Caenorhabditis elegans: one gene and its partners. The protein of the gene in region 3 interacts with the protein of the main gene of each other region in a pairwise test. Each region holds a gene or a part of one and is shown on either strand. Other genes may lie near its edges.

Region 1 (7,915 bases), on a different chromosome or scaffold from region 3:
GGTTCACCTTGGTCTTTATGCACACGGAGTTGACAACATCTCTTCTGATCGAGATGTGCAATCCATTGTCGGCCATCACTACCCTCCGATGCCAACAGTTGCAAACTATGACATTCCACACGTGCCGAAAGAAGAAGAGAAGCCTCCAGTGGCTAACCTGCAAAGTACATCTAGCCCAGCGACGTCCTCTCCAACAATCATCCGCCCTCGTGCAGCACCTCCACCGAGAACACTGGCTCAAGGAAGACCAATCCCGTTGAATGGGAAAGAACTCAAGGCTGTTCCAATCAGGCAGATTCCGCTGCAAGTGAGGCCGTTGCCACCGAGACCAGCCAATGTGCCAATTGTGCCAAGGCCAACTGTTCCACAACAGTTTATCAAAGCACCAGCTCCGAAACCTATCACACTTCAAGCTGTTGTTTGCAGTATTCCAGAAAAGGAAATCAAGAAAGAAACTGAAGACGTAGCGCTGCTGGAGAAAATAAAGGATGAACCACTGGATGAAGACGATTTTAATCATCCTTCAACTGATCCGGTGCCAAACCGAACGACTGCTTCTTCACAAGGACCATCTTCGTATCCACGGAAAATTGTAGTACTGGCCTCAAAACTACCCACGTCGCAAAGCTCATCACCATCAACTGCAACTTCTGCACAAGCTAGATCCCATGTTACCACTGCGCAACTGATCCGATGTGGGCCAAGTGAAGGCACCGTTCCACAAAAAATTCATTCACACAACTTTGTGCAGAAGTTTGCTCAAAAGCAAAATTTTGTTCACAAGTATGCACTGAACTCACAAGACCACACAGGCAGGCTCAACCAAACTGTACCCATGAGAGCTGCGCTGAGGCTTCCAAACAGCGAACAAAAGTCAGGAGCACCTTCTTCGATCAATGGAAAAGTACAGAGGGATGACTTCAAATTGGAACCACTGGACGATTTCAACGGAGAACCCGACTATGACAATTTAATTGGGGCTCAACGGCTTATGTACAGTGATAATCTCAATGACGCATCGGCAGAAGATGCGTTTGCAAGGTAACCTATATTTTTTTCTGAACCTCAGTTTCATTTCCAATTTTCAGGCATCGTGTGACTATGGAATTCCAGAAGCGCAGAGCTTGCAACCGTCGCTGTGCAGTATGTGGTCACTTGGAAATCCACGAGCGTCTGAAGAATGTGACGATTGAAAATGAAAAGCTGTTGATTATGTTGGGCTGTATTTATCGCGGAGAATTTACTCTAGGACAGGCACAGCTTTTCATGGCGCGTGAGAGCAAAACGTACATTTGCCGTCTCCATTTCCTGGAGACCCTCGACGAGATCTACCAGATGCTACGTCTGAAATCTGCCGATGATATTCTGATTTGCCCATTGGACTTGATTCAGAACGCATTGATCACTGTTTCCGCCCTCCGTCCACACATTATTGCTTCACAACTTCGAAAGATTCTTCACGATTTTGCCGAAAGAAATAATCATCTTCGTGAAACGCCAGCGGTAAGTTTCCGTTTTTAAAATTGCACATTTTGAAACAAATTAATTGTTTTTAGGAATTGAAGAAACTTGGACAACAATACTTTGACTACCGCGAGCCCGAACCTGAGCCAGAGAGAAACGATGTGGATGAGCAAGAAATCATACCGAAACTCTTTCGCCAGCCACGCAAGCAAGTTCTGGAAGCTGATCAGCATGACGGAACTGTCAAGGTTATAGAGCAGGAAGATTTCAAGCTCCCAACTGTCAAACCGTCTGAAAATGAGGAATGCGACAATCCGGGCGTTTGCTGCTTCTGTTCGAAACGTGGCGACCGAGGTGGAATGCTTCGTGTCCCGAGAAGTGAGGAACGTTTGGCTAGATGGGTGGATAAGCTTGGACCAGAATTTGAAGCCCGACTTCACACCAATACGGAAAACCTAATTTGCCGAAGCCATTTCCCAGATGCAGCGTTCAGCAGTCGTGGTAGACTTTTGAAAGGAATGATTCCAGATGCTGCTCCAGAAAAAGTTGAGACCACGTATATCATTCAAGGGAACAACTTCCTCAAACTCAAAGAGCGCAAGTCTGGAACTGATAAGAATTCAGCCATTGATTTGGCGAATATGTTAAACCCCGACGGTGTTGAATATACTCAGGAAGAAGAAGAAGAAGAGGAATATGAAGAAATGTCAAGATCCCCAACGGAAGAGACTTCAGACGACGAGCCCAGTCAAGCAGCAGTTTACAACAATGCTCCAGTGATAAAACGTACCTATAGAAAGCGGGAGTTGTCAAACGAGGATGGACCTCTTAACTTGGTAACACCACCTGCTCATACTCCGAACCCAAGAGGGCGCCCAAGGAAGTATCCCAAGAATAGTGTAACACCAGAAGCTGAAAAAAGCCTCACCGACTACGACTACAATCCGGGAACATCTCAACGACGTGCACTTAAGAAAGGTTACGTACAACTCGAAGACGGAGAAATTGTCGGCGAAGATTGCGAATACGTGCCTGAAAAAACACCAAGTGGAAGATTGATTCGACAAGCTGTTGCTAGACGAAGCTTTGCTTTTGCTGATGAGGAAGAGGAGGAGGAAGAGTATGAAGAATCTCCAATTGTTAAAAAGCCCAAGATTGCTGGAAGAGTGAGTTTTTGAAAAATATATGCTTTGAATTATTTTTATATTTTTTCAGCCAGTCGGACGACCGCGCAAAGATGCTAATAAGCTGCCAACCCCCACACCACCCAGCAACGAATAAGTGGAAATATTTTCATCCACCGTTCCTGATTGTTGTTTTTATATATAATTTTTTCTCCATTGATGTTTTTGATGATTAAGTCATACGCATAGTTTTACCCTGTTACTTTGATTGCCCTTAAAATTACCACTTTTATTTTACCTATTTATTTTAATCATCATTCATCTGAAACCTCACAATGATGAGATGATCTCATCATTTTTATATTTTGTAGTTTTATATCAGTTTTATAAATGTTCACCGAAATTTGATGCCAACTGGTTTTTTTCTAATTCTTTCCAAATGGTTTCACATCACCAAATGACAATTTTCCTTTACTTTCCTATCTTGCTTATCATACACTATCACTTATTCAGATTCCTAATGTTGGCTCCAGCGGCTCCAGCTAAAGATGTTGTCTCGGCAGATGAAAAAGAAGAAATCATTGCGAAAAGAAAATTTCGAATGAAAAACGTTGATGCTATGCGAATGTCAAGCTTGGCGAACGATCGGATGGCTTTCAACAAGAAATGCAATGCCCTAGCGATGAAGTTTGTTAAAAGTGCCGGCATTGGAACGGATGCTCTGCAGCTCACATGTTTCCAGGAGCTCGTCCGGCATTTCAACCCAATTGCCGCAGTTGTTGTTGGTGTCAAAAGAGAGGTATGGCTTTTTAAGGATTTTCTCCCATTTTCTGATATATCTAGTTAAAGGTGGAGTAGCGCCAGTGGGGAAATTGTTAAAAACTACTCCTTTAGTGCCAAAAGGACCAAATATCAAAATAAAACTTTTCAAACATTTTTTGAAAATTTTTTATTTACTGTCAAAAAGTGACAATCATTCAGTGTTTGCCAATCATAATTTTGGAAGTCGACAAAAAAATGTTCTCCTACATTTAAAATGCAATTTTGTTTTGCCTACTTGTATTAAAACATTGTTGGGGTCGGAACATGCGACATTGCTGTGGATTTCCTCAAAAGCTCATATTTTTCATAGTTTTGGCAATATGCCAAAACTTTGACTGGAAATTATGAAAGATCTAAAAATTTTTGGAGTGTTTTATTATGATATTCGGTCGTTTTGAATCATGATAAGGTTGAATAAGAAGTGTTCTATCTTCAATGTTTCAGCCAAACTCCAATGTACAAGCTGAAAAAAAGACAATTCCAAAAGTCAAGACAATACAAACACCTACCCAGTCAATGGAATCTGTTCGATTGGTAAGCAGAAATGTTTGAAGATTATTCATAATAATGCGTATATGGTTTCAGCTCCAAGAGAAAAAAGCTTCAGCAACTGAAGAACAATCAGCTGAGTCTGCTTCGATCATGAAGCATTTTGCGAATACAATTCCAAACTCAACACCAACGCAAAGCGTGAAGGATGTTCTGACGGCGGCTGCAAGCAAGGGACAATTCAAAAGTAGCGCGGAAATTTTTTCACACTTTCCAAGTGAACCCAGCCCCTCGAAACCCCGTGCCACACGAGAGGGATCTCAACCGAGTGACTACACGTATTGTACCTATCTGACTCCGTGCATACTCTGCGAGAAGGCTCTTTTAATGCGAGAAAGCATTGCAATGACTGATAACGAAGCTGTGAAAGTTTTGATGGCGGCAGTGATGTCTGGCCACTTTAGAATGGCAACTGCAGAGAAAGCGATTCGTCATGAGAGGCTAAGGATGTGCTATGATCATGTTGATTTTGTAGTAAGTTGTTCAGTATTTTTTTCAAAATAGTTAAGTTTGAAAAGCTGTGAAAACTTTTCTAAAGCTGATTAGAACATAAATTCTAATTTAAAAGTTATTAATTTTATTTATAATTTTCATGGCAAAAGTTCAAAATTTTTGGTGTTTTGTTTAGTACAACCTCTATTTTATTTTATATATGTGATCGATATTAATACATTAGACTAGAAAACAAGAATTAAAGGACGATCCGTTCTTCAAGTCCTATGCACTACGGATCTGGGATTCAGGTGGTGCTCCCACTGAGTTATAATTTAAGCCACGTCCTAGCCGGGGACTGTGGCCGATAATCCTATCGTGGACTGCTCTACTTACCAATAGAGGCTGGATGAAAACCTAGGTGGTGAGGTTGGACTTGAACTTGTGACCTCCAGATTGCTAGCGGCCACCACTACCGACTGAGCTATCCTGCCCCCTTTTAGTTTAGAGATTTTAGTTTAAAAAAAACCATACACCACTTTTTCAGTACGAAATGATGTGCGACGCCTTTGAAGCTAAAACGGAAAGCGAGATCAATGAGATGCCACCGGACAGATTGATGCGTGGCCATGATATCTATAGAGCACTGAAGGTTTGATTGTCATATCTCGTTGTTCTACAACGGTGAAATGTTTTAAGAGAGTCGGCGACCTGCACAAAGGGAAGGTTACGTCGAACACTCCGCTTTACTCATTCAAGAATTCCATTAAATCTTATTACCGTAACCACGTGCCAAGGATGGTCAATGGGTCTCTCAGTAAACCGTCTCCCAAACCGTTCTCAGAGCTGGTTGCGCTTTTGCAATCGGTGAGTCTTGTGACACTTGTGAAAATTTTAAAAAAATTTAAAAAATTATTCGTTTAAGGTGCCTCCATCGACGAATCTAAATGAGTTGCTGAATCATAATCTTAGCCTCAGTGATGCTGATAAGCAAGAACTCATTCAACTCATCAATGGGAAAGATAATCGTTTCACATCTCGGAGACGGAAAATCGAGGATATTCTTGACAACAAGTTTGCTGCTGCAGCTGCAAAAGCTTATCGAGATCACAGTGAAGATGCACCTAGTGAACCGTATATTCCCAATCAAAGTGAGATGCAGAACACTGTAGAACGCAGAAAGCGAAAGCTTCATTCGCCTGAACAGGATGATGCTGGATCATCGAGTATCTCATGGAACGCAAAAAAAACGAAAACTCCAATTGACTATGTTCACCTAGCAACGCGTGTTTTGGAAGGTCATTCAATTGCCGACGAGGCGCTTTTGCACAAATCCAAAGTTTCTTATGCTCGTAATGCATTTGGTGAGAAGCCAAGCTCCCCCACTCCGCCATCTGCGCCACTAAAGTTCTGTGTTGTCAATGGAAAGAAATACTTGCGTTTTGAAAACGGAACCGGACCTCCGAAAGTTGTAGTTCAAGGGAATGTCGTTCTTCGCACTAATACTCTTAAAGACGCATTGACTACAGCGCCACGTGCACAAAACCAGCCTTCTACGTCCACAGACTCATCAAGCTCATCCGAGATGGAGGGAATACGTCAATCATTTGGGGCGCCTCAAAAGGAAGAAGAAGAAGAAGAATTAGTACCTACGCTTCTTCAAAACAAACCTACCCACGTGGAATCTTCGAGCCCCGTTGAAAAAAAACCACCAACCAAAACGAACGTAGAGAAACCAGCGGTCCGTCTAGGAAGAATGTTAACGACTGCATTTGGTTCAATGAGTTACCGAACAAGAAAATCGGTAGAGAATAAAACGGATCTCTTAAATCAGCCAACATCTGCCTCACCAAGACGCATGATTAAAGTTGTGAGAAACCGAAATCCTCACCTTGCGAAACAAGTGGCCGCCGCACCGAGTGAGCCAAAACATATTCCGCCAACGCACATGGAAAAGAAGCCGGAAGAGTTGCTCATGGATCCAAAGCCTGAGCCAATTTTTTAAACGTTCTTGATAACTTTGATTATTATCTTTTTAGTTCAATTTCATGTTTTTTTTAAACTGTTTTTTTCTCATCACAATCGATCTTATAAATATGTTACTTGTTATCAAAACTATTTCAAGAATTTCGAGTTTAGCGCATTTCGTGAGGAGGAAGTCTGAAATTAAAAGTTTTTGCAATGAATTTTTGTTCGGTCACACGGAATTTTTCAGGTTAGAAAAGTGTTTTGTGCGTGTTGGTTTTGTTGACGTCTTTTCAGAAAAAAAATTTAATGGTGTTTATTGATTGAAACCCGTATCCAAAAGATAAAACAACATACCGCAATTCCAAAAAAGAGCAAATTATGTTTGCCGGAAATGTTTAATTCCGGCCATTTGTCGATTTGCCGGAAATTTTCAATTCCGACAATTTGCCGATTTTCTGGAAGTTTTTAATTTTGGAAAGATGCCGATTTGCCGGAAATTTTCACTCCCGGCGATTTGCCGATTTGCTGGAAATTTTCGATTCCGGCCAATTGCCGGAAATTTCAGTTCCTGCGATTTGTCGGTTTTCCCGAAATTTTTAATTCCGGCAATCTGCCGATTTGCCAAAACTTTTCAATTTCGGCAATTTGCCATTTTGCCGAAAACTTTCAATTCCGGCAATTTGTCGATTTGCCGGAAATGTTCAATACCGGCAATTTACCGATTTGCAGGAATTTTTCAACTCCGGCATTTCGCCGATTTGCCGGAAATTTCAATTCCGGCCATTTGTCGATTTGCCGGAAATTTTCAATTCCGACAATTCGCCGATTTGCCGGAAATTTTTAATTCCGGCAATCTGCCGATTTGCCAAAATTTTTCAATTTCGGCAATTTGCCATTTTGCCGAAAACTTTCAATTCCGGCAATTTGTCGATTTGCCGGAAATGTTCAAACCGGCAATTTACCGATTTGCCGGAAATTTTTAATTCAGTCCATTTGCCGGAAATTCGCGATTCCGGCAATTTGTCGATTTGCCGGAAATGTTTAATACCGGCAATTTACCGATTTGCCGAAAATTTTCAATTCCGGCAACTTGCCGATTTGCCGGAAACTTTCAATTCCGGCAATTTGTTGTGCAAAACTTCAATTTCCGATCTGCCGAAAATTTTAAATCCCGGCAATTTGTCGATTTGTCGGAAATTTTCAATTCCGGCAATTTGCCGATTTGCCACATTTTTCAATTCCGGCAATTTGCTGATTTGCTAAATTTTTCAATTCCGGCAATTTGCCGGTTTGCCGAAAAAAATCGTTTGCCGCTCACCCCTCATTCATACATTATTCATTTTCACATACATACTATCTCTCTGTCAAAATCTCATACACCCTCCTGTACTCCCCCCTGCCCATTTACATCACTAGAGAGTATCGCGAAGACGGTCATTGTTGCCCCTTCGCTATGTGTAATTCAGTGCAGTATTTATTGATTTATTTTTCATATACGATTTTCACCCCTTAGCTAAAAAACTGCGATACATTGTTTTGAAAAATGAAATAACATG
Region 2 (6,301 bases), on a different chromosome or scaffold from region 3:
ATGGGAGATCAAGAATTGAATTACGAGCTGGATCAGATGGAGATGGAAGAGTAGACAGGGTGATAGCTGGCATTCTCTTGATGTTAAATTTCTCGTGTTCCCAAGCGCTTACTGTCGTCAAAGAGATTTTTTTCGTTACCAACTCTATATTCTTCTTTGGAGAAATGCTGCTGAAATATCTTACGAACGATTAAAATCAATAAACTTTTAAAACAGTACTTAAGTCTTCTGAGAAGTTGAGCTGCTACTGAATTTTCTGATGGTGTCTTTCCAGCATGCATGAAAAATCCTCCCGTTTTGCGACCAATTGCCTCAATACATATTGCCAAGTCAACACGATCATCTGAAAACCCTTCAAAACCGGTAAAACGACACTCTCCTTTTACTGCATTACCTTTTCTAGAAAGTCCAGATTTGGCATAATCAGCGCTGTCAAAGCCTTTCTGGTACTCATCGATCCAGTGACGAGTTCCTTGATAATTGAGCTTTCCAGCTGCTGTCCAAATGAACAAAATATTGTATGGAGGACGTGTGCTTGGAGAATCATAGAATTTTGACAGAACAGCAAGCAATTCGAGAAGTGCAACTATACCAGACCCATTGGAATCAGCGCCAGGCGAGACTCCTGGAACGGCCGATTGTGTGTCATAGTGTGCCACAAATGCAATCGTAGGTGCAGCACGATCTCCACTACTCAAGCGACCAACAATATTCAGTGGTTTGTATGAAGGTGGAAGTTCTGGACTTTGATCGGAAGAAGTGATACTGATTGTGTTTCCGGAAAGTGATTGAAGCAAATGTTGCAGGGCTGTGGGAGCTTTTTCCGAGCGAGTATTGACATCGTGAAGAATAGAAACGGCGTCATCATTGAAAGGAGCCACATAAACAGCCAAGTCGGTCTTTGCGCTCAACAACTTTGCTTCAAGATCGATGAATGCCTGAATAATGAGCATAAATAACTTTTATGGCAATATGAAATTAAATGTTCAAGCTAACCTTCCGATCAATATCGTTAAGTTCATCAAGATTGTCGGGAATGAAAATAAGCACGGCACCGGTAGAAAGTGCCCACATGTCATCGACATCTGTTGTAAGAAGATCTCGCCATGTTGTAACCATAGTTCTAGATATTAAAATATTACTATTTACAAATGAAATATCCAAAAAAACCTGCGAAGAGTTCTTGCACCCAAGGAAACAGCTTCATATGATACGCGATAATTTTTGCATCCATAAATGTTACCACTGATTTCGTATTGATGAAGACGGTACGCATGAAACTCGGTTTCTACGACTTCTCCAACTTGCTGGGACCCGTTCACCTAAATATGGAGAGTTCATCTTCTAAATCATTACCAACAACTTACTACACAAATGGTTAACATTAAAGTCATGTAGAAAAGAAGAGCCGGACTTCGGAAAAAATCGATGATTTCATCCTGCATCTGAAAAAAACATATCTTAAGCTCAAAATCACGAGAATCCTGTGCAAATTAGGATGAAAGATCTTTCGGAGTAGGAATTATTTAATAACACAAACTATCATGATTCTACAGAAATCGATAGAATTAAACCAGAATTGATGATATATAATACCCGAGTAGGGAGAAAACTGCATGAGTTTTCTGAGCGGAATTCAAATGAGCCAAACATGCTCTACCGTACCTTGCAACAGCGGTGAAGGCAAATCGTTGCGAGACCCCTCCCCGCGAAAACCGCGACGCGCACACACTTTGAAAGTGGGTTTTATCGGTCTTCTACAGTTTTGGTCACTTTCCCGCATTAAAATTCTCTGTTTTAATATATTTAAATTCAATTGAATTAATATTTTATTATTCACCCCTTCTTTGTTGTATTATTTTATCTAACTACACTGTTTGAACGATAATTATTCTTTGCAAAAATTGAAAATTTCAGGAAATGGCCACTCTTGAAGATGGAACCTCCGAAGATCGCGTCGCAAATGATGAATACAAAATTTGGAAAAAGAACACCCCGTTCTTGTACGATCTCGTAATGACACATGCGCTTGAGTGGCCTTCACTCAGTGTTCAATGGCTCCCAGACGTTGCGAAGGTATGTGTTCTCATATAATTCACAACTTTCATGAAGTGAATTCAAATAATTTAGGATAACAGCGACCATACTATTCATCGGCTCATTCTTGGAACTCATACTTCAGATGAGCAGAATCACTTGCTTATTTCTAAGATCTGTATGCCAACGGATGATGCCCAATTTGATGCATCTCGCTACGATACCGAGCGCAGTGAATACGGTGGTTTCGGAGCTGTTAACGGAAAAGTGGAACCCGATATTCGCATTAACCACGAAGGGGAGGTTAACAGAGCTCGTTACATGCCTCAAAAGTCGAATATCATTGCTACAAAGTCTCCACATGCTGATGTTTACATTTTCGACTATTTAAAGCACTCTGCTGTTCCTCGTGATAACACGTTCAATCCGCTTATCAGACTGAAAGGACACACGAAGGAAGGCTATGGATTATCATGGAATCCAAACAAAGAAGGTTTGATTCTATCAGCGTCAGATGATCAGACAGTTTGTCATTGGGATATCAACGCAAATCAGAATGTTGCCGGGGAATTGCAAGCGAAGGATGTTTTCAAAGGTCACGAGTCAGTCGTTGAAGATGTTGCTTGGCACGTTTTGCATGATGGTGTCTTCGGATCGGTTGGTGACGATAAGAAATTGTAAGCTTTTGTTTTTTTTCTATTTATTAACTAATTAAAAATTATAGGCTCATTTGGGATGTGCGCACAAGCACTCCTGGACACTGTATCGATGCTCATTCTGCCGAAGTTAACTGTCTCGCATTCAATCCATATTCCGAATTCATTCTGGCCACCGGATCAGCTGATAAAACTGTCGCTCTTTGGGATCTACGTAATCTACGAATGAAACTTCACTCATTTGAATCACATCGTGATGAAATCTTCCAAGTTCAGTGGAGTCCACACAACGAGACTATTCTTGCATCCAGCGGTACTGATAAACGTCTTCATGTGTGGGACCTATCTAAGATTGGAGAAGACCAATCTGCCGAAGACGCGGAAGATGGTCCACCAGAGCTGTTGTTTATTCACGGTGGGCACACCGCCAAGATCAGCGATTTCTCGTGGAACCCGAACGAGCCTTGGGTTGTGTGCAGTGTGTCAGAAGACAATATTCTCCAAGTGTGGCAAATGGCTGATAACATATACAACGAAGTTGACGAAGAAACTCCAGCCGATGTGGTAGAGAGACAACAGTAAAATACGTGAAACGCGCTTAAATTATTTGTATTTAACTTCTATCCTTCTTTAATTTTGCATCTCAACAAATTGTTCATCTTACCATTTATTCAAACGCATATTCTTCACCAACTAAGTTTTTAAAGTTAAAATGTTACCTTGAGATATGATCATATTTTGTTGAACCTGAAATAAATTCGATGACCATTGTCAGATAACTGTTTTGAAATATTATGTTAACGTGATTGTTGTGATAGCTCAGATTGTGATATTTTTGGTTTTTTGTTGTATCTTTTGTTATTTCAGGCAATTTCAGAGCACAATGAGTGAAGCTGAATCGTGTGAAGAAACGAGTAAAGAACATAGAATTTGGAAGAAAAATGTTCCATATCTCTACGATACAGTCGTCACAAAAGAGGTCGAGTGGCCTTCTTTATCAGTGCAATGGATGCCTGATGTCACAAAAGTAAGAATCGGTAAATATGATTTCGCCTTCTTCATTATTTTTTTAAGACAGAGAACTCGGATTCATCGATGCATCGAATGATTCATGGAACACATACTTGTGGAGGAGTTCAGAATCATCTCATGATCTCAAAGTTCACAATAACGACAGACACACCAGAATTCGACGACGCTAAATGGGATTCGGAACGTGAAGAGTTCGGAGGTTATGGAGAGGGCAGCGCTGCAAAATGGGATACTGAGATTAAAATCAACCATCCAGGAGAAGTTCATAGGGCACGTTACATGCCACATAATCCTTTCATTATTGCAAGTCGAGGTCCTTCTGATGACGTTTATATTTTCGACTACACGAAGCACCCATCTGAACCAAAAGACACCAAATTTCGACCTCAATTGCGATTGAAAGGCCATGAAGGCGAAGGATATGGAATGTCGTGGAGCAACACCAGAGAGGGACATTTGCTAACTGCCGGCGATGACGGAATGGTATTTCTAACAAAAGATATACATAAATATACATTTTTTAAGATTTGCCACTGGGATATAAACGCGAATCAGACCATTTCCGGTCAAATAGTGCCACAAAGCAAGTTTAAAGGTCATTCATCAAATGCGGAGGATGTTTCTTTTCACGCGCTCCATAATTTCGTTTTTGGATCTGTTGGAGATGATAGAAAACTGTAAGTATAAATACATCATACCATTCTGTCGAGATTTCAAAATAATTTTCACGTCTTTAGAAACCTATGGGATCTGCGTCAATCAAAGCCACAGCTCACAGCCGTCGGACATACTGCAGAAGTTAATTGTATTACTTTCAATCCGTTTTCCGAATACATTTTAGCAACCGGATCTGTTGATAAAACGGTTGCTTTGTGGGATATGAGGAATATGCGCAAAAAAATGTACACGCTGAAACATCACAACGACGAAATATTTCAAGTATCGTTCAGCCCGCATTATGAAACTGTTCTGGCTAGTAGTGGATCGGATGAGTAAGTTTTTTCCTAATAAGTTGTATTTGTTTAACCTATGAAATTTCAAAAATTTCAGTCGGGTTATCGTTTGGGATATTTCTAAAATTCAAGACCCATCGTCTTCATCAGCTGCATCATCTGATTCTGTTCCACCAGAAGTTATTTTTATTCACGCTGGGCATACTGGAAAAGTTGCAGATTTCTCTTGGAATCCCAACCGCCCATGGACTATTTGCAGCAGCGACGAATTTAATGCATTACAGGCAAGAATTATTTTCAAAAAATTAATCATAACTATTTAATGGTTTTTCAGGTGTGGGAAGTTTCAAACAGTTTAGTTTCGTCGGAAAAATGGGAGACCGAAATGATTTAATCGTCTAAATTGCACTTTGTCGAATTTTACTAATTTTCTCACTTCTGATCTTTGAATGTAAAAATCACATTCCTATCAATGAACGTTTTTTCATTTTCTTTCATATTGTGTTCATCTATTCAGAATTAATTTCTCAGGTTTTCTCTGCCACTAAATATTTACTTTGAAAAATAGTGTGTTCACAATGGGGCGCACTTGCGAAACCATGTTTAGTCGGTTTACATTGCTTATTTTCTTACGATAAGGAATATATTGATTAAACATATTTCAAGGTTATCCAGAAAGAAAATGTTGAGAAATTGGAGACTTTTGGTAAGAAGTTTTGCAACAAATTCAAGTGAGGAAATCGCTCCGAAGGTTGATGTTAGTTTGTGAGTTTTCATTTTTTGCATGTTCAAAAAACAAAAAAAAACATTTTTTTAGTCTACGTCCCCGTCATCGAATCATTGCTGCTGGTGGGATGCCACCGGTTCAATTTGATTCTGAGCGTGAACGAGCATCTCGTCGTGAAAGATTCGGAAAATATGGTCTAAAAAGTGGTGTACCAGTTGAAGAGCTGTTCCCAACAGCTGAAGAAATTGAGGAAGAAGAAGCCATTGGATTGTTCAGAGAATTTAATAATGCTAAGAAAGAATACAAAGAACTACAGAAAAAGAAGAGGGAATCAGAGTTAGCGAGGTATACTTTAATTGTAATTTCAAAATTAGCAACATTTTAAAACATAACTTTAAAAAATTTAGAATCGTTCGATAATTTTGCTTCAATTTTGCGAAAATAGGGCAAAAATTAATTGTTTTTGAATTTCGTGCAAGTGGCTGACATGCACGAAATCGGCTTTCCTTGATTTTTTTCTTCAATATTTTATTTGAAACACCGTTTGTCAAATTTTCGGACAATTATATGTTTAAAAAATTAAAAATAGAATTATCGATTTTTAAGACATTTTTGAAATTTTAGTCTTTGCGAATTCTTTACACAAAAATGCCTGAAAAATTTACAAATATGTCATCTGAATCCATTTTCAGAATTGCTGAACTCGAGAAAAATCTCAAAAAGTATCCTGCAACACTTGCAAAATATGAAGCTTCATTGGTTAAACAAGAACAAGAGAAAGACGAAAAGGAAGTAGCACTTGAAAAACGAATTCGTGACATTCAAGAATACTTTGGATATTGGATGGATCCAAAAGATCCAAGATTCGAAGTGATGCTACAGCAAAAAGAAGCAGA
Region 3 (7,071 bases):
CGACAATTTTTTGTTAAATGTGGTGCGAAAAAGTGCGCGCCTTTAAATTTTTCAAACTTTTGTTTCTGCGGAAATTTATTGATTTTTCATAGGTTTTCTCACGATTTGTTCAAATTCAGAAAAACTAGGAATAATCAATTAAAATTCTGCAAAAACGAAAGTTTGAACTCACAGTACTCTTTAAAGGTGCGCCACTGTTCGCATTTAACGAAAAATTATCGTTTCGAGACCCGTACCGTATTTTTGGGCGCAAAACTGATTTTTCGGTAATAATAATGTTGTTTTTCACTCGTGATTTGGAAGAAGCCACAGTTTTAAGCGTTTCCGTCTTATAAAAAAATCCTATAATTCCGGCAAATTGATATCCGGCAAATAGGCAACTTGCCGGAATTGAAAATTTCCGGCAAATTGACAAATTTATGGAATTGAAAATTTCCGGCAAACAGGCAACTTGCCGGAATTGAAAATTTCCGGCGAACAGGCAAATTTCTGGAATTGAAAATTTCCGGCAAATTGACAAATTTATGGAATTGAAAATTTCCGGCAAACAGGCAACTTGCCGGAATTGAAAATTTCCGGCGAACAGGCAAATTTCTGGAATTGAAAATTTCCGGCAAACTGGCAACTTGCCGGAATTGAAAATTTCCGGCAAATTGACAAATTTATGGAATTGAAAATTTCCGGCAAACAGGCAACTTGCCGGAATTTAAAATTTCCGGCAAACTGGCAACTTGCCGAATTGTTGAGATATTTCTATTCACCCTGGCGGTTTCCCGGCGCAATTGTATTTATTGTCAGGGTGGCCTTTGGGGCATAATTTGAATTGCCATCGTGTTCTGTCGTCTCTTCGATCTGCACACTCTCTCGTTGTCCCACTCTCTGTCACTCTCTCACTCTCTCACTGTGGGGGCCTATAACTCGGCGATGTACTAAATTTGAATGTAGTGTATGCCGCCGCGTTTTTCTGCAATTTATATCGAAAGCGGTCGATATTTTCTCGATCGTCCCGACTTACAAGCCTATTTTGCCCTTTTCAGCCTTGTAGGACTGTTTTGAACTGGATTTTTTCAATTGCATTTCAAAAAAATAGGAAAATCTGAAATTTTGCCGATTTTCTAGCATTTTTAGAATTTTTTGCTACGTTTTCAGTAAGTTTTTATGATTTTTACGTCAAAATTGGCAATTTAGCTGAAATTCATAAATTTCGGCATAAAAATCATAAAAAAACAACGGGAAATTTATCAAAAAATACGAAAAATTCCTGAAAATCGGCAAATTTCCGATTTTGCCGGCAAAATTTTTGATTCCAAGCGGTTTTAAATGGGTTCACTAAATTCTGAGAATGCTGCACAACACATTTGACGAGCAAAATATCTCGTAGCGAAAACTACAGTAATTCTTTAAATGACTACTGTGCGCGCTGGTGTCGATTTACGGGCTTGATTTTCGTAAATCGACACAAGCACTACAGTAGTAATTTAAAGGATTACTGTAGTTTTCTTTTTCGCTACGAGATATTTTGCGCGTCAAATATGTTGTGCAATATGCATTCACTAGAATTTTGTGTTCCCGTAATGGTACCTTTAATAAGTCGGGGGAGCATCCTTCCTGCAGCCTCTTCTCTCTTTTCTTTATATCTCTCGCTCTCTCACTCGTCTCCATTCTGCCCGTCCGTCTGCGTCTCCGTGGTCTCAGTACTATTTCCGACGCTTTAACCATTCTTCCGAGTGACCCCTCCCCACCTATGTCTTCGTCTCTCCCTCTGCTGCTGCTGCTGCTGGACGTTCCTCTTGTTTCTGCGTCTCTCCATGTCTCTCGTTGTCTGAATCTATCCTTTTTTCTAGTTGTCACGGCGATTTATCCGAAAGAGAAGGACCGTTTTCTGGATTTTTTTTGAAATTTAATTTAATTTTTAAAAAACTAATTAATTTCCAATTTTAAAAAATCTATTTTGTTCTTTTTCAAAAAAAATTTTAATAGCGCAAAAAATGCGGATAATTTTTAATTATTTTTTCACTTTTCAGATGATATCGATTTTGTGCACTCAAAAATTATTCGAATTTCTCTATTTTCCGCTTAAAGCTAAAAAATTTCAAAAAATTAATGCTTTTTTTACCGAATTTAGAGTTTTCGCACTGTCTCCTCATTTTTAGTATTTTGGTTATTATCCGGACGCGAAATATTGCGCTTTTTGCTCCAAAAATACGATACCGGGTCTCGACACGACAATTTTTTGTTAAATTCGAACAGGTGTGCGCCTTTAAAGAGTACTATAATTTCAAATTTTCGTTTCCCCGGAATTTCAATCGATTATTCCTAGTTTTTCTGAATTTGAACAAATCGGTGAGAAAGCCTTCGAAAAATCAATAAGAAAAATTCCGCAGAAACGAAAAGTTTGAAATTACAGTACTCTTTAAAGGCGCGCACTTTTTCGCACCACATTTAACAAAAAATTGTCGCTTCGAGACCATTTTTAAAGCAGAAATCGCGAAATTTTGTGCTTTTTGGGCGAAAATGGAGAAATTTAAATAATTTTGATAGCAAAATAAAAACATTTTTTTAATGTAATTTCTCGAATTTTCGACTTTTCGACTAATTCGACTTTTCCCCAAAAAATCCTCCAATTTTTGCAGAGCTTTAACGGGTCACGATGAGCTCATCATCGTTGTCGTCAACATCAACTCGAGTCACGTACGCCGTCGGCGATTTTGTCTATTTCGACGACACGTCGGCCACCGACGCTCCATATCAGATCCGCAAAATCGAGGAGCTTGTCAAGGTTAGATTAGTTGGCTGGAAAAAAAGCCCCAAAAGCCTGAAAAAGCCCAAAATTTCTCAATTTTCAGACAGAAAAGGGCGGCGTGGATGCGCGATGCGTCGTCTACCTCCGACGACGTGACATTCCACAACATTTGCTGAAAATTGCCGATCAAGCGCAGAGGCGATTCGATAATTGTGAGCTTTTCCCCAGCTTACTTTATTTGAAAATATTAAAATTCAATTCAATTTTTTTCAGATTACGAAGTGGATAAGAAGAAGCCCGAGAATTTTACCACAAAAGGATTTATCGTTGTCAATGGAGCTTCTGAAGCTGCTCCAGAAGCTGCTCCAGAAGCCACCGAAGCTTCTGCGGAGACGTCTGAAACAAAAGTGAAGGAAGATACTGATGACGTGGCAGAGAAAATGGAAGAGGACGAAGAATGCCCGGCCCCGGTTGGGCAGGGAAGAACCAGCTCGACTGAGGAGCCATCGGCGTCGGATGCTCCAGCAGCGACCGCAAAGGACAAAAAAGAAGAAAAAGAAGCCAAGGAAAACGCGAAAAACCTCAAGGAGACTGCCGAAGCAGAAGCCACGAAGCTCATTGACTGGGGTGATGGAGGCCTTCCGCTCGGAGTCGACAAGCTCACCCCGGATCAGAGGCTGAAGCTCCGACAGCATGAGATCTTTATGACGAGGCAATCGGAGATCCTTCCAGCAGCGGCGATTCGTGGAAAGTGTCGAGTCGTTCTTCTGGGAGATGGTGAAGAGGCTCAGAACTACCTGCCTCTGGATGATACCTTCTATCATTCCCTTGTCTATGACCCGAATGCGCAGACTTTGCTGGCTGATAAGGGTGCTATTAGGGTTGGCGAGAAGTATCAGGCGGTGGTGGATGAGTGGATGGAGCCCGCCGATCGGGAGGCGAAGGAGGCGAAGGTGCTGGCCGAGAAGGTTAAGAAGGAGGAAGAGGAGGCAAAGTTGAAGGCTGAAGCCGAGGAGGACACTGAGAATGATGGGTTGACGATCGCCGAGGATGAGGAGATGCCGGAGCTGAAGAATGAGGAAAAGGAAGAGACCAAGGTGGAAGAGGAAGCTACCACCACCGATTCCGAAGGTGAAGTAGGTGAAGTCCTCGTCTGGCACCCGCACCACGCTCTCACCGACCGTGACATTGATCAGTACATGATTGTGGCCCGATCAGTCGGCCTATTCGCCCGAGCCATCGATGGAGCTTCCGCGCCGAAGCTTCCGACTCTTCAGCTAGCCGCCGCCTTCGCCTCCCGTGACGTCACCATCTTCCACGCCCACGCGATCCTTCATCAGGCCAACTATGATGTCGGGCAGGCTGTCAAGTACCTGGTCCCAGTGGCCTCTCGAGACACGTACCCGTGCCAGGTCGATGATTCAAGCGGCCTGCAGACTAAGACCCTTGGCGGACCGATTTTGTGTCGGGATCAGCTGGAAGAGTGGTCGACGCCCGAGATGAATCTGTTCGAGGATGCGCTGGATAAGGTGGGCAAGGATTTCAATGAGATCCGCGCCGAGTACCTTCCGTGGAAGTCGATTCGGGACATTGTCGAGTACTATTACCTTATGAAGGCCTCCAATCGATACACAGATCGCAAGAAGAACAAGCCATCGGCGGGTGGTGGAAGCTCGACGACGACGGACGAGAAGTTCACCAACATCTACATTCCGCCGTTCAACAAGCCGATCGCCGCCTCGATTCTTCCGTACAACACTAGCCAGACGACGCTGATGAACAACGACAATCCGTGTGAGAATTGCGGGACGCTGGACGCTCTCAACTGGTATCAGTGGGGAGGTGTCGGCGATAAGAAGGTTCTGTGCTCGACGTGTTGGATTCAGTGGAAGAAGTTCGCCGGGCTCAATCAGAAGCACGAGCTCGAGCGGTTCGACAAGACGCGGCCGCCACCGGTGGAGCCGGTAGCGCCGACGCCAGCGGCCTCAAATGGAACTCCAGCTTCTCAGAAGGCGGCTGCCACGGCGGCGGTGAACACGTTGACTCCACAACAACAGCAGCAGCAGCGCGCTGCCGCCGCCAACATGCTCATGACGCTGAACAGTGGTGATAAGCAGAATTTGTTGAATGTGGCAAAGGAGGCGCTGGCACGTGGCCAAATCACCCAGGAGCAATTTCTACAGCTACAGAAGAATTTCGCTCAGAAAATCCAGGCACAAATTCAACAACAGATTCAGCAGCAGCAACAGCGGCAGGCGCAAACGACGCCGCAAGTGGTCGCAACGCCCAGGGTAAGGATTGGTTGAAAATTGCACGAAAAATCAAAAAAAAAAATTGAAAAACTCAATTTTGGCCAAATTCCCACCAAAATGAGCTACGACCAATAAATGATTCGCTCCGCCCATTTTTCAACCAATCAGCGTCGTCGAATACCGCACATTCCTATGATTGGTTGGAAAATGGGTGGAGCTAATCGCTGATTGGTCGCAGGTCTAATTTCGGAGGAAACTCGGCCAAAATGGTAAAAAGCTCAATTTAGGCTTAATTCTCTTCAAAATGAGAACTGCGACCAATCAGCGATTCGCTCCGCCCAATTTCAAACCAACCAGCGCCGCGCATTCCTCTGATTGGTTGAAAAATGGGCGGAGCTAATCGCTGATTGGTCGCAGGTCTTATTTTGGAGGAAACTCGGCCAAAATGGTAAAAAGCTCAATATAGGCCTAATTCTCTTCAAAATGAGAACTGCGACCAATCAGCGATTCGCTCCGCCCAATTTCAAACCAACCAGCGCCGCACATTCCTCTGATTGGTTGAAAAATGGGCGGAGCTAATCGCTGATTGGTCGTAACTCTCATTATATAGAAAACTGAGCCAAAATCTTTAAAAAACTGCATTTTTTTCGTTTTTAAACCCAAATTTTTTCCAGAAAAAGACGACTCCAGCCACAAAACCGGCCATCGTCTTTTACACGACAATCTGCCGACGAGCGGTTCGCCGGATTTTGCCGAAAAGCGCGTTCAACCTGAGAAAATTGTCCCGTCGGCCGAACCTCGCCATCGATGATGAGAAGATCCTCAGAGCTAGTGAGTTAAACCCCGGAAAATTGAAATTTTTAGCAAAAAAATCGATATTTGGCGTGTTCTGAGCCAATTTTGAGCCATTTTTGCATGGTTTTCACACTAAAATTGAATTTTTTAAAAGGAAAATTTTGAAAATTTCGGTTTTTTACGCCTATCTGCCTAAAAATTGCATTAAAACGAAAAAATTTGCAATTTTTTACCAAAATGTCGATTTTTTTCAGAAATATCGATTTTTACAACCGAAAAAAATCCAGAATATTACCCAGATGTTGCAATTTTCGCACCAAAATTACGGTAGCGGGTCTCGACGCGAAAATAAATTTTTTGTTGAATGCGAAAATCTGTGCGCCTTTAAAGGGTACTGTAATTTCCAATTTTTTTTTTCTGAATTTTATGCGATTTTTAATCAATATTCCTGTTTCTATCGAAAACACCACGAAAATCGATAAAAATTGTGAAAACTACAGTACTCTTTAAAGGCGCAGCACACTTTTTTTTGCATTTCACCAAATTTTTCGTCGTGTCGAGACCCGCCTACCATATAGCATATTTCCTACCATACCTACCTACCATATTTCCTACCATTGCCTACCATATTTTTTTTGCTAAAAAAATTCATTTTTAACATTAAAACCATGCTAAAATGTGGTCCAAATGACAAAATAATGAAATTTTTCGAATTTTTTGGCTCAAATCTGATTTATACAAATTTTCAGTGATTATGCTCGACAAGAAGCACCTTCTGCAGTCGGCGCAGGCAGCCGCAGGCGATAAGAGAAGCCTGATTGTCGAGTCGGAATTCCATAAGGGAATCACACATTTACAACACGTAAGTCTTTTTTTTGTGGCAGCAGGGCGCACATGCATACACACAAGAAATTTTGGATAATTTTACAATACTCGGAATACGAAAATTCATTAATTTTGAAAAAAAAATCGTTGTCTTTGGCGAATTTCCAATTTTGAATTACCGCACGGTTTTGTCTCGAAACTCCGCCCATTTTTCCGTGCCGCACTCTGGGTTTTTTAAAATTTTGGCGCATTTTTTTCAATTTTCAAGTTTATGTCTTCAAAAATCACCCAATTATAACGGGAAATCGTGTAGAAATATGTTTTCACGTCGAAATTGTCAAAACCCAAAGTGCGGCACGGAAAAATGGGCGGAGTTGCGAAAAAGGTGCGCGCGGTAATTCAAATTATTACGGGAACACTGAATTCTAAGAATTCTGTGTATTGAGCAACATATTT
Region 4 (8,776 bases), on a different chromosome or scaffold from region 3:
TATCAAATGCATCACTCAATACAGGTGCAGCTTCAATGATAGTTGCTGGAGTTGTTGGAGATGTTGGAACTGATGATTGAGCTGTATCTTCACGAATCCAAACTATATCATCTTCATCGTCAGCCATCTAAAAATAGAAATTGTACTGAGTTTTGATGCTTCATAAAGTAGAAAAAGTATGCGAGATTGGTTTTATTCAAAAAAAACTCTTGTAGTAGTAGTGATATGGATGGCATGTTGGTTGTTTTGTTGGCAATAGAGAAATTGGCAGAACGACGGAAGAGGGTTTAGAGGCCATTTTTACACTGTTTTGAGCCCGCCTGAGTGAGCATTAAACACTGAATAGTGTGTAAGATGAAGATACGCAGAGTTGCACACGGACTTGATCAGTGAAATCGGGGGAGGAGAAGGAAGGGATCCGAGAGATTTTAGACTTGAGAAGTGAAGATAGGTTTTTGGAAAATTGACACCTGGAAATTTAAGATTCATGCATGAACATTTACGCGAGCTACAATTTATTGTAACTTGATTAAACCATGAAACAATTTTTTTACAAATGCTTCCCTAGAGAGGCCGGATATTAAAAGTACAGATGGCAGAAAACTTTCATTTGTGTGAGTACGGTAGTCTGATTGTTTGTTATTGAGTTTAAGAATTTTTCACTATTTGTTTTTTAATGTGTTTCTTGTCTTTGGGGGTTTAAGTCGACTCCCAATAAGAAGTTATACCGTAATCGCTTTTATGAAGAGATGTCTAATGACTTGTCATCTTTGAAATCTTTTGCTCGTGCTAAGTATTGTATTCAGACGAATAATACATTATAATTTTCGAAAAATGTAATCACTTCACAAGCCAGGGCAAGAATTGCGCTTCTGTATGAGCTGTCACCAGATTATGATTTTTAATTGTGTACGGAAGAAAAATTGAGAGCATCTTAAGAGGAAGATGCATCTTCTGAAATAATTTTTCTAAATAAAAATCAGAATTATTTTTCAGCATTCCACCCAGATTACGTGTCTGTTATAATCGTTTCTGGAAGACATTCTATTAGATACCGTACCCCGAAAACTAGAAATCCTATTTCTAGTTTTCGGGGTACGGTATCTAATAGAATATGAGTACCTGAGTAAACATCACTTACTATACGCATATGTTTGCTCAAGCTTCTACTATACCTGAACCTAGAGAAAACTGTCTTCCGTTCGATTTAATTTGGCAACGAAATGTTCCAAGCTTATGATGTTCCCGTTGTAATTAATTAATTCCCCTGCTTTAAATCACTTATTGTTAACGAATATGTACTTCTCAAACTCCTGGTGTTATCTCCGTGGTATTTTGGATAAATTGGTGTCAATCATTTATACAAATGACCTGTCTCCATATTGATATCATCAATTCAACGTCCCTCCAGTTCCAAGTCGCTTGTTCGGCGAGAGAGCGTAGCAAACGGAGAGACGTCATAGAAAAAGTACGCAACCGCGCGTGGCGGTGTTTGCGTACATCAGATGAGTGGGAGCCAGAATTGTACAAAAATTGGCCGGACAATTATCGATTTTTACACTTTCGACTCATTTTTCACTTATTATCAATGTTTTTCGTTATTATTTGTATCTCTTGAGCGTTTTAAACAATTAAATTCACTGTATTTTCTGTTTTTGTGCTCAAAATGTGTAGAATTTGCAAAAGAAAGGCTTTTCCAAAAATATTTGATTGCAGGAAATGTCGGAAGAATTGCTGAGTACTAGACCCAGTAAAAGGGATTATAATGATATTGAAGAACCAGAAGACTCACACGTGACGGTGCACTCAGTTGAACAGGTATGGTGATAATTGAGAAACATTCTCGCCGCTTATGAATATCAATGCATTTTTAGGATTCACAGCATTCTGGTGAAGAATCCTCAACTGTAGACGCATTGCAGGAAACTGAGGGTGATGTTGACGTAATAGGAGAAGATGAGGACGAACACGATGTACGTTTACATTTTCATTCTCGTATTAATGCATGTGCCCATTGGCCGGAATAGAATACATCATTTTATTTTCAGATTCCCGTAATGCCAACTGTCACATCAAGTGGTGAAGTTCTTGATGAAAGCCAAGTCACTCCAACTAAACAAGCTTCGTCGTCACAACCAAGAGAAGAAATTATCCACGGCAAAGGCGAAAGTGTCTACTCCAGTTTTCCGTGCCAAGTTATTCCGGAGACTTTAAGCCGAATGACACGAACTCCGCCAGATGGAGAGCATTTAGAAGTGTACCGGATGTCAAATGGGAGACTGAGAATATATGTTGTTGATCATTTCAAGAAGTTTTCTCCATACTCCAATTTGACTCATAAGCCATGTACAGTTTGTAATCGAGTAATGAAATCGGGAGAGATGCATCTAAACTTCCCAGCAGACTTGGATAGGCGCAGAATTTGGGCAAATTTGCTTGGATTCAAATACAAAGATATTCTTCGCAGTAAAATGGGTCCTGTATCGTTTTCAATTGCTGCCGGTCCAATTTGTACTGAGCACTTCGCCGAGGAGTGCTTCAGGAATCACAATTTCAACAAATCTGCCATCGAAGCTTTTGGAGTTCCTGTTGCTATTTCACCAGACGTTAAGACGACACCGAGTAAAAAAAGGTAAGAAGAAAAGCTGGTTCTGCTCGAAACGAAAAAGCTTGTGAATGAATATGTTAGCTCGATTTTTGGCTAAAACATCCTCTTTCACGATTTTATAAAAGTTCCAGAGTGCCATGGGTCTGTACCGTATGTGAGTTCCACTCGTGCAGTGTTGTCGAGCTTCAGACACATCTTCTCAATCACACGGAGGAAATGCTCAAGAAAAAAGATAATGTTTTGGATGTAAGTTCAAGCTTTTTAGTTAATACTCTTATTTTATCACATAATTCTTATAACAAAAATTAATATTTTTCACAGGTCCCAGAAGCTGGCTTCATGTGCCCATTCTGTAGAAAATGCACATATGGTTACAAGACAATATCTGGATATCGTCGTCACTTGAATGCTGGCCCCATTCATCATTGTCATCTTCGTAGAATATATGAATTCGCTAAAATGAACTGCCGCGCTACTGAGTTGGATCCAGCGGAAAGCTGGGATAACTGGACTCGTCGCAACGTTTATGTGGCATATCACGGCTGTGAACCACCAGCAAATGAAATCGTACTCACACCTTCACCAACGAAAAAAGCCTACGTGCAAAATCCAGAAGAGCGTACGAAAATGGTTCACGATGAAGAGAAGAGAAAGAAGGCAGTGAGGACATTATCGTTTGTTGGAAAAGAAGGTGGTACAAGTGTGAATGATCTGAACGTAATGCAGCGACAAGTGTTTCTGCAATTGAGAAGAGAAGCAGAGATTAATACAAAAGCAGAAGAATCGGCTCAAGGAACGAAGGAGCAAGAGAGCAGTCAGAAAAAACATGCAGAAGAAGAGTCAGACGATGTTTCTGAACTGTAAGTTTTGTCAAAAAATGTTCGAGTTAGAGAACATCCTGCGTAACGAAATTTAAAAAATCTTACTAAATGGAAATCAAAGAAGCAATTAAATTTTTTAGAACTTCCCATCAGTCTCCACAAGCTCCAATGGGATCTGGTGAACGACGTAAAGCAACACGTCTCGCAACTTCCGCTACAAATTCACCAATCAAGAAGGTGGCAAAACACGAAGTTCCTGCTACAGCTCCATCAACTCCAGCTAAGAAACGGAAAATTTCACACGAAGAAGAACACGATCCAACTCCTGAAAGTGTAGAGAGAGAACCAACAGTTTCACCAAATGATCCACGTGAACGTCTTCGTTTGAAGGAACGAGATGAACAATTTGCCAAAATGGTTCAGAAAAGATCTCAGCAAGTTAAGCGATTGATCAATGCCAAACAATTCAAGAAACAAGAAGCAGCAACGAAGAAGCCGAGAAAGGCCTTGGCTTATAATTTGGCCAAAGGGATCGCTGCTACTTCTTCGGTGAGTTTTATTTACTGAATTTATTAAATAATAGATTAGAACTTAATTTGTAACTTTTGAAATTCCTCTTTTACTTTGTAGCATGTTGAAATTCGAATTACTAGGATAATGTTTTTTATTCAGACGGAGCCAGAAGACAAAGTGACATCTTCGGAGCAGACACCAGAACCGACAACAAGTCAAAAATTTATCGCCAGAAATACACGATCGAAAACTAAGGAGAGTGCTGTTCAAAAAGTTGAAAAACCAGCAACTCCTGTCGCAAAACCGGCACCAGTAGAAAAAGAGCCGGAAGAACGCCCTCTAAAATCAATGCTCGCGAGATCTTTTGTTGCTGGAGTTCGTCCTTCGATGGCTAAATATCAGATTCCATTAGAATCGTTCACAGCTACTGCATCACTTGGTGGAGGACGTTCATTATCTTCTGGAGTCATATCAAGACCACCAACTTCATCCTCTCCTGGCGGGATCTTTTCTCAAAGAGTTATGGGAGCTGTTGCACAAGAAAAAGGGCCTGCTAAGAGACCGGTAAGTTTAATATATTAGAATTATTTATTAGGAGACTTTGATATTTTTTCTAATTTATTGCTTCAGAGTGTGCTCTCCCGAAGACCACTGATCCTTTCACCACGAAAAAAAACATCAACTCCACGACCAACACTCTCCCATCACGAGTCATCGCCAAACTTCTCAGCATCTTCTCCGGTGGTTGTTTCTGATGAGTATCTGATTCCAGCAACGGATATGGAAGTTGAAATGGTCGAAGAAGTCATTGATTCTATGGGAAACTCATCGTCTGAAGATGTTGCCACTTCTTCAACATCTTCCGAGAGGCAACCGATGCTTACGCTGGCAGAGGCTCTTGAGATGGATGGTTCAAGTGGAACAGTTAAAGATCAAGATATGGAAGAAATCTCAAAAGAAATGATGAAAGATGCTCATTACTACAGAGCAATGGAAGACGCTATCAAATGTCGCACCGTGACGAAAATGCGCGCTGACATGAGACTTTCCCGTCATTGCATCCGGCAAATTGAAGCTGCGAGAGCCAGGTGAGCCCATGGGAGGTCTACTTTGATAAATCGTTTAATTTTTTGCAGAGCTCGTCTGTTTGGCGAAAGGACTGAAGATTATCAAATTTTCTACTCTAACGATGGAGCACAAGTGGTATGTTTTTATTAGTTTCAATTCTGAATTTTAGTAACAATTTTCGTTTTTTAAAAGATTTTATTTATGTTGTTCTCAATTTGAAACCATTTGCTTTGAAAAAATTCCGATTGAAACATCAAAAATCACTGATCACAACACAATTTATTTTAAAAACATGTTTTCTCCGCTATTTGGCGTTATCAATCAGTTTGTTTCATTCTTATGATTTTCAGCTCACCAAAAAAGATCCAAAATGGCGTGAACTTCAACAACAACAACAACAACAACAACAGCAGCAAGAACAATTTCCAGGACAAGGATCATCGGATTCTCAACAATAATTATTTTTAATTATCAAAGAAAGTGCCTCAAAATTCAAGATTCAAAAGTCAATTGTCCTTTCGAGGATCGCCCCACATTTCTTTCATGTGAACTATCTCTGTTTTATATCCACAGAAGTTATCCCATTTTACTTTCATTCGAAATTCTTGAAATCTGATAAAAACTCCGACTAGGATAGATTTTCGTCTAGATTTTTAGGATTTTCACATTTACTTTTTTCCCATTTTTTACCCCCCCTCCCCCCTATAATTTACTTTCCAAAATTAATAGTTTGTTTTACTTTCCATAAGCCCCCGCCCCCTCCCCAAAAACCACACTTTTTCTATCATAAATTAATCTGAATTATTCACAAAAAATGAGCCAAAGTCTATTTAAACGTTTCCCTAGTTTTCAATTACATTCAAGTTTGAAAGATATGTGCGTTTGTGTGCCAAATATGACTAAAAGTCAATAAATAAATGATTTTGCTTGGTAGGTTTTTGAAAAGAGTTTTCAGATTATTTTTTCTATAGGCTACCTGATTATCCATAACATTATATTTTGAAAAAACCATGAAAAATTTAAAAAAATCCTAAAATTTAGAATGGCATCACCAGAAGCATCGTCTTCTGGAAATACAGAAGATCTTCGTATCGAAGATTTATTCCATCAAAAACGAAATGAAGATACGATTGCTAAAATATTTTCGATTATTTATGCTCCAGTTGGTGAGATTTTTTTCAAATTTTTTGACACATTCCAAAAAGTAAAAGTTTTAAAAAATCAAAATTTCAGGTTTAATTATTCTTTTAATTCGTGTTTTCCTCGGTTTCCACACATTTATTGTTGCATGTCTACTCAGAAAATCTGCTGCTTTGAGAATGCACACTCTTCGAATTATGTGCTCAATTCTCGGAATTGTCGTTGAAAAATCTGGTCACAGGTTTGTGATTTTTTTTTTGAAAAATATTTGATATCTCCAAAAAAATAGAAACAAGTTACTGAAAAATTGGAAGCTTGCCGTATTGCCCAGGCGCAAATTTTTTTGCGACTTCTGTCCCAAAAGTGAGGTACCTGGTCTCGAAATGACAATTTTTTTGTTAAATACAAAAACATGTGCGCCTTTAAAGAGTACGGTAGCTTTAAAATTTCGTTACTGTGGATTCATTGATTTTTCATAGTTTTTCTTACGATTTTTGTTAAAATCAATGTGTTTTAAGTGTTATTTTAGTTTTAAAAATTTATTTTAACGAAAAAACTTTGAAAAATTGATTTCAAAAATTCCGCAGCAACAAAAGTTCCATATATCCATTTATATTTTACAAAAAAAAAGTTTTTCAAGACCCGGGTGCTGTACTTTTTTTGCAAAATGAAATTCGGTAATTTTTAGTGTATCTAAAAAAAATTAAAAAAAAAAGGTCACTAACTATTCCTTAAAATGTTTTTTGCTTGCCGAGATATTCACAACTTCTTAGTATTAAAAAAAAAAGATTTTCAGAGATGAATCAGCTCGAGTTTTGTGCGCCAATCATGTATCAATTCTTGATCATTTAGCAGTTGATATTCTTACTCCATGCCTTCTTCCATCTGTTTGGGATATTCCATCGATTATTAGATGGTGTTTTGGATATGTAGATTTGGGAGCAACACGTGGAAGAGATCAACTTGTCAGTAGAGCCAAACAACTACTCACCAGAGAACAAATGCCACTTCTCGCATTTCCAGAAGGAATTATTACTAGTGGAGAAAAGGCATTGATCAAGTTTAAGTATGTCATTTGAACTTTCCAAATATTTTGTGATTTCGATTTCAAGATTTTTCAGCTAAAAATATGGTTTGTCACTACAAATTTGTGAAAAAAAATCTAAAAATCTTTTTACGCATTTTCATCAATTTTTCATAGTTTTTTTCATAAAATATAAAATTCACATTTTTAATGAAAAACTATGCAAAATCGATGAAAATTCAGCATAAATTAGGATTTTAAATTACAGTACTCTTTAAAGGCGCACACTTTTTGTCGGATAAAGAATTGTCATGTCAAGACCGGGTACCGTAGTTTTGGCGCAAAAATCATGAATCTCGAACCCAAATCTACTAAATTTTCAGTACTTGGTGTTTCGAGGTGTCTTCAGTAGTTCAACCCGTCTCAGTGCGTGTGTGGCGTCCGTATCCTTGGAAAGTTTCAGTTTCAGTATTGGGTTCTTCATGGTGGACTGATCTTTTCTATTTCTTTGCACTTCCGTTTACTGTTATCACTGTCGAATATCTTCCGAAAATGGAAAGACGAGAGAATGTAAAGAAAAATTGGAATTTCCAAATAAAAACAATTATTTCTAGGAATCACTCGAAGAATTCACCGCCCGAGTTGCCGAAACGTTGGCTGGAAATTTGAAGATTGCAGTGTCAAAGTTTGGAATTTCGGACGCAACAGAAGCAGCAAAACGGCTTAGAACAGATAGAGAACGTGCGAAAAAAGTTGTCGTTAGAGAGAAGGTATTTGTTTCCAATAATTTGTTTTCTTTAAAAAATGAAAATTTTCAAGACTTCACCTAGACTTGCGGATCCTCGTCAAATGGACGAATGTGCAATGAGAATCAAACAATCATTTCCATCATTCCATTTATCTGCAATTCGACGTGATTTGGAGAAAACTCGTAGTCAAACTACAACTGTTAATAATTTGAAAGCTGGTAAAATTTCATCATCAGCATCGGATGGTCAAACTGGAAAGGTTAGGAACTACAAATTCGATGAATTGCCCAGAAATACTGAGATTTTTAAGCCTAAGACTACTGTACCCGGTCTCAACACGACAATTTTTTGTAAAATACAAACCGCCGTGTGTCTTTAAAGAGAACTGTAATTTAAAACTTTCGTAGCTGACAGAATTTTCATCGATTTTCAGTTGTTCGACACAAATACATTCATTTATTGGAAAAACTAAATTAAAACAATAAAAAACATAAATTTTAATAAATCGTGAGAGTAAATATGACAAATCGATGAAAATACCTCAGCTACCAAAAGGTTGAAACTACAGTACTCTCTAAAGGCGCACATCCGTTTTGTATTTAGCAAAAACTGTTGTGTCGAACCCAGGTATCGTAGTTTTGACATTAAATATGAAGAATATCTAAATAACAATTTTCAGGTTACATTGGACGCTGGTACGTGGCGTGGAGTATTCGACAATCGAAAATGGCAGATGATCGAAGTTAATCGCCAAAAATACATGAACCGCGATTCTTAAATTTTCAAATTAGATTATTCGATTTTTCTTTGGATTTTAAAACCTTTTAGTCATCATGCCTTGTCATTTCCTTTG

The links.
Region 1: the proteins of lin-40 (region 3) and lin-15A interact in a two-hybrid assay, tested with the Caenorhabditis elegans proteins (one study listed by BioGRID).
Region 2: the proteins of lin-40 (region 3) and lin-53 interact in a two-hybrid assay, tested with the Caenorhabditis elegans proteins (4 studies listed by BioGRID).
Region 4: the proteins of lin-40 (region 3) and lin-36 interact in a two-hybrid assay, tested with the Caenorhabditis elegans proteins (3 studies listed by BioGRID).

What each region holds. Positions count from the first base shown.
Region 1 is NC_003284.9:15,728,867-15,736,781, forward strand, and holds lin-15A (Protein lin-15A), read left to right. Parts: upstream 1-3,101; 5' UTR 3,102-3,108; coding exon 3,109-3,387; intron 3,388-3,854; coding exon 3,855-3,944; intron 3,945-3,995; coding exon 3,996-4,433; intron 4,434-4,938; coding exon 4,939-5,043; intron 5,044-5,090; coding exon 5,091-5,258; intron 5,259-5,316; coding exon 5,317-6,396; 3' UTR 6,397-6,499; downstream 6,500-7,915. Other genes in the region: Protein lin-15B, read left to right, coding at 1-1,041, 1,089-1,503, 1,557-2,630, 2,680-2,745. UniProt on the Caenorhabditis elegans protein: Synthetic multivulva (synMuv) class A protein. SynMuv proteins are required to repress the induction of vulval development.
Region 2 is NC_003279.8:9,615,377-9,621,677, reverse strand, and holds lin-53 (putative histone-binding protein lin-53), read left to right. Parts: upstream 1-1,917; 5' UTR 1,918-1,920; coding exon 1,921-2,076; intron 2,077-2,130; coding exon 2,131-2,714; intron 2,715-2,761; coding exon 2,762-3,275; 3' UTR 3,276-3,467; downstream 3,468-6,301. Other genes in the region: nra-2 (Nicalin), read right to left, coding at 1-179, 220-352, 395-938, 997-1,123, 1,171-1,322, 1,368-1,445; putative histone-binding protein rba-1, read left to right, coding at 3,577-3,720, 3,768-4,208, 4,251-4,402, 4,463-4,717, 4,776-4,962, 5,013-5,072; K07A1.10 (Large ribosomal subunit protein mL64), read left to right, coding at 5,361-5,443, 5,496-5,750, 6,098-6,301. UniProt on the Caenorhabditis elegans protein: Core histone-binding subunit that may target chromatin assembly factors, chromatin remodeling factors and histone deacetylases to their histone substrates in a manner that is regulated by nucleosomal DNA.
Region 3 is NC_003283.11:3,702,362-3,709,432, forward strand, and holds the start of lin-40 (DIOX_N domain-containing protein), read left to right. Parts: upstream 1-2,633; 5' UTR 2,634-2,650; coding exon 2,651-2,779; intron 2,780-2,846; coding exon 2,847-2,955; intron 2,956-3,016; coding exon 3,017-5,034; intron 5,035-5,669; coding exon 5,670-5,826; intron 5,827-6,539; coding exon 6,540-6,652; intron 6,653-6,911; exon of another isoform or gene 6,912-7,015; intron 7,016-7,071.
Region 4 is NC_003281.10:8,013,814-8,022,589, reverse strand, and holds lin-36 (Protein lin-36), read left to right. Parts: upstream 1-1,716; 5' UTR 1,717-1,719; coding exon 1,720-1,818; intron 1,819-1,874; coding exon 1,875-1,973; intron 1,974-2,048; coding exon 2,049-2,632; intron 2,633-2,733; coding exon 2,734-2,854; intron 2,855-2,929; coding exon 2,930-3,468; intron 3,469-3,569; coding exon 3,570-3,978; intron 3,979-4,101; coding exon 4,102-4,506; intron 4,507-4,572; coding exon 4,573-5,030; intron 5,031-5,078; coding exon 5,079-5,145; intron 5,146-5,360; coding exon 5,361-5,468; 3' UTR 5,469-5,942; downstream 5,943-8,776. Other genes in the region: F44B9.2 (uncharacterized protein), read right to left, coding at 1-127; F44B9.5 (Lipid droplet-regulating VLDL assembly factor AUP1 homolog), read left to right, coding at 6,053-6,176, 6,244-6,391, 6,947-7,216, 7,558-7,744, 7,789-7,944, 7,994-8,182, 8,603-8,701. UniProt on the Caenorhabditis elegans protein: Required to negatively regulate vulval development. Antagonizes Ras-mediated vulval induction. Acts cell autonomously.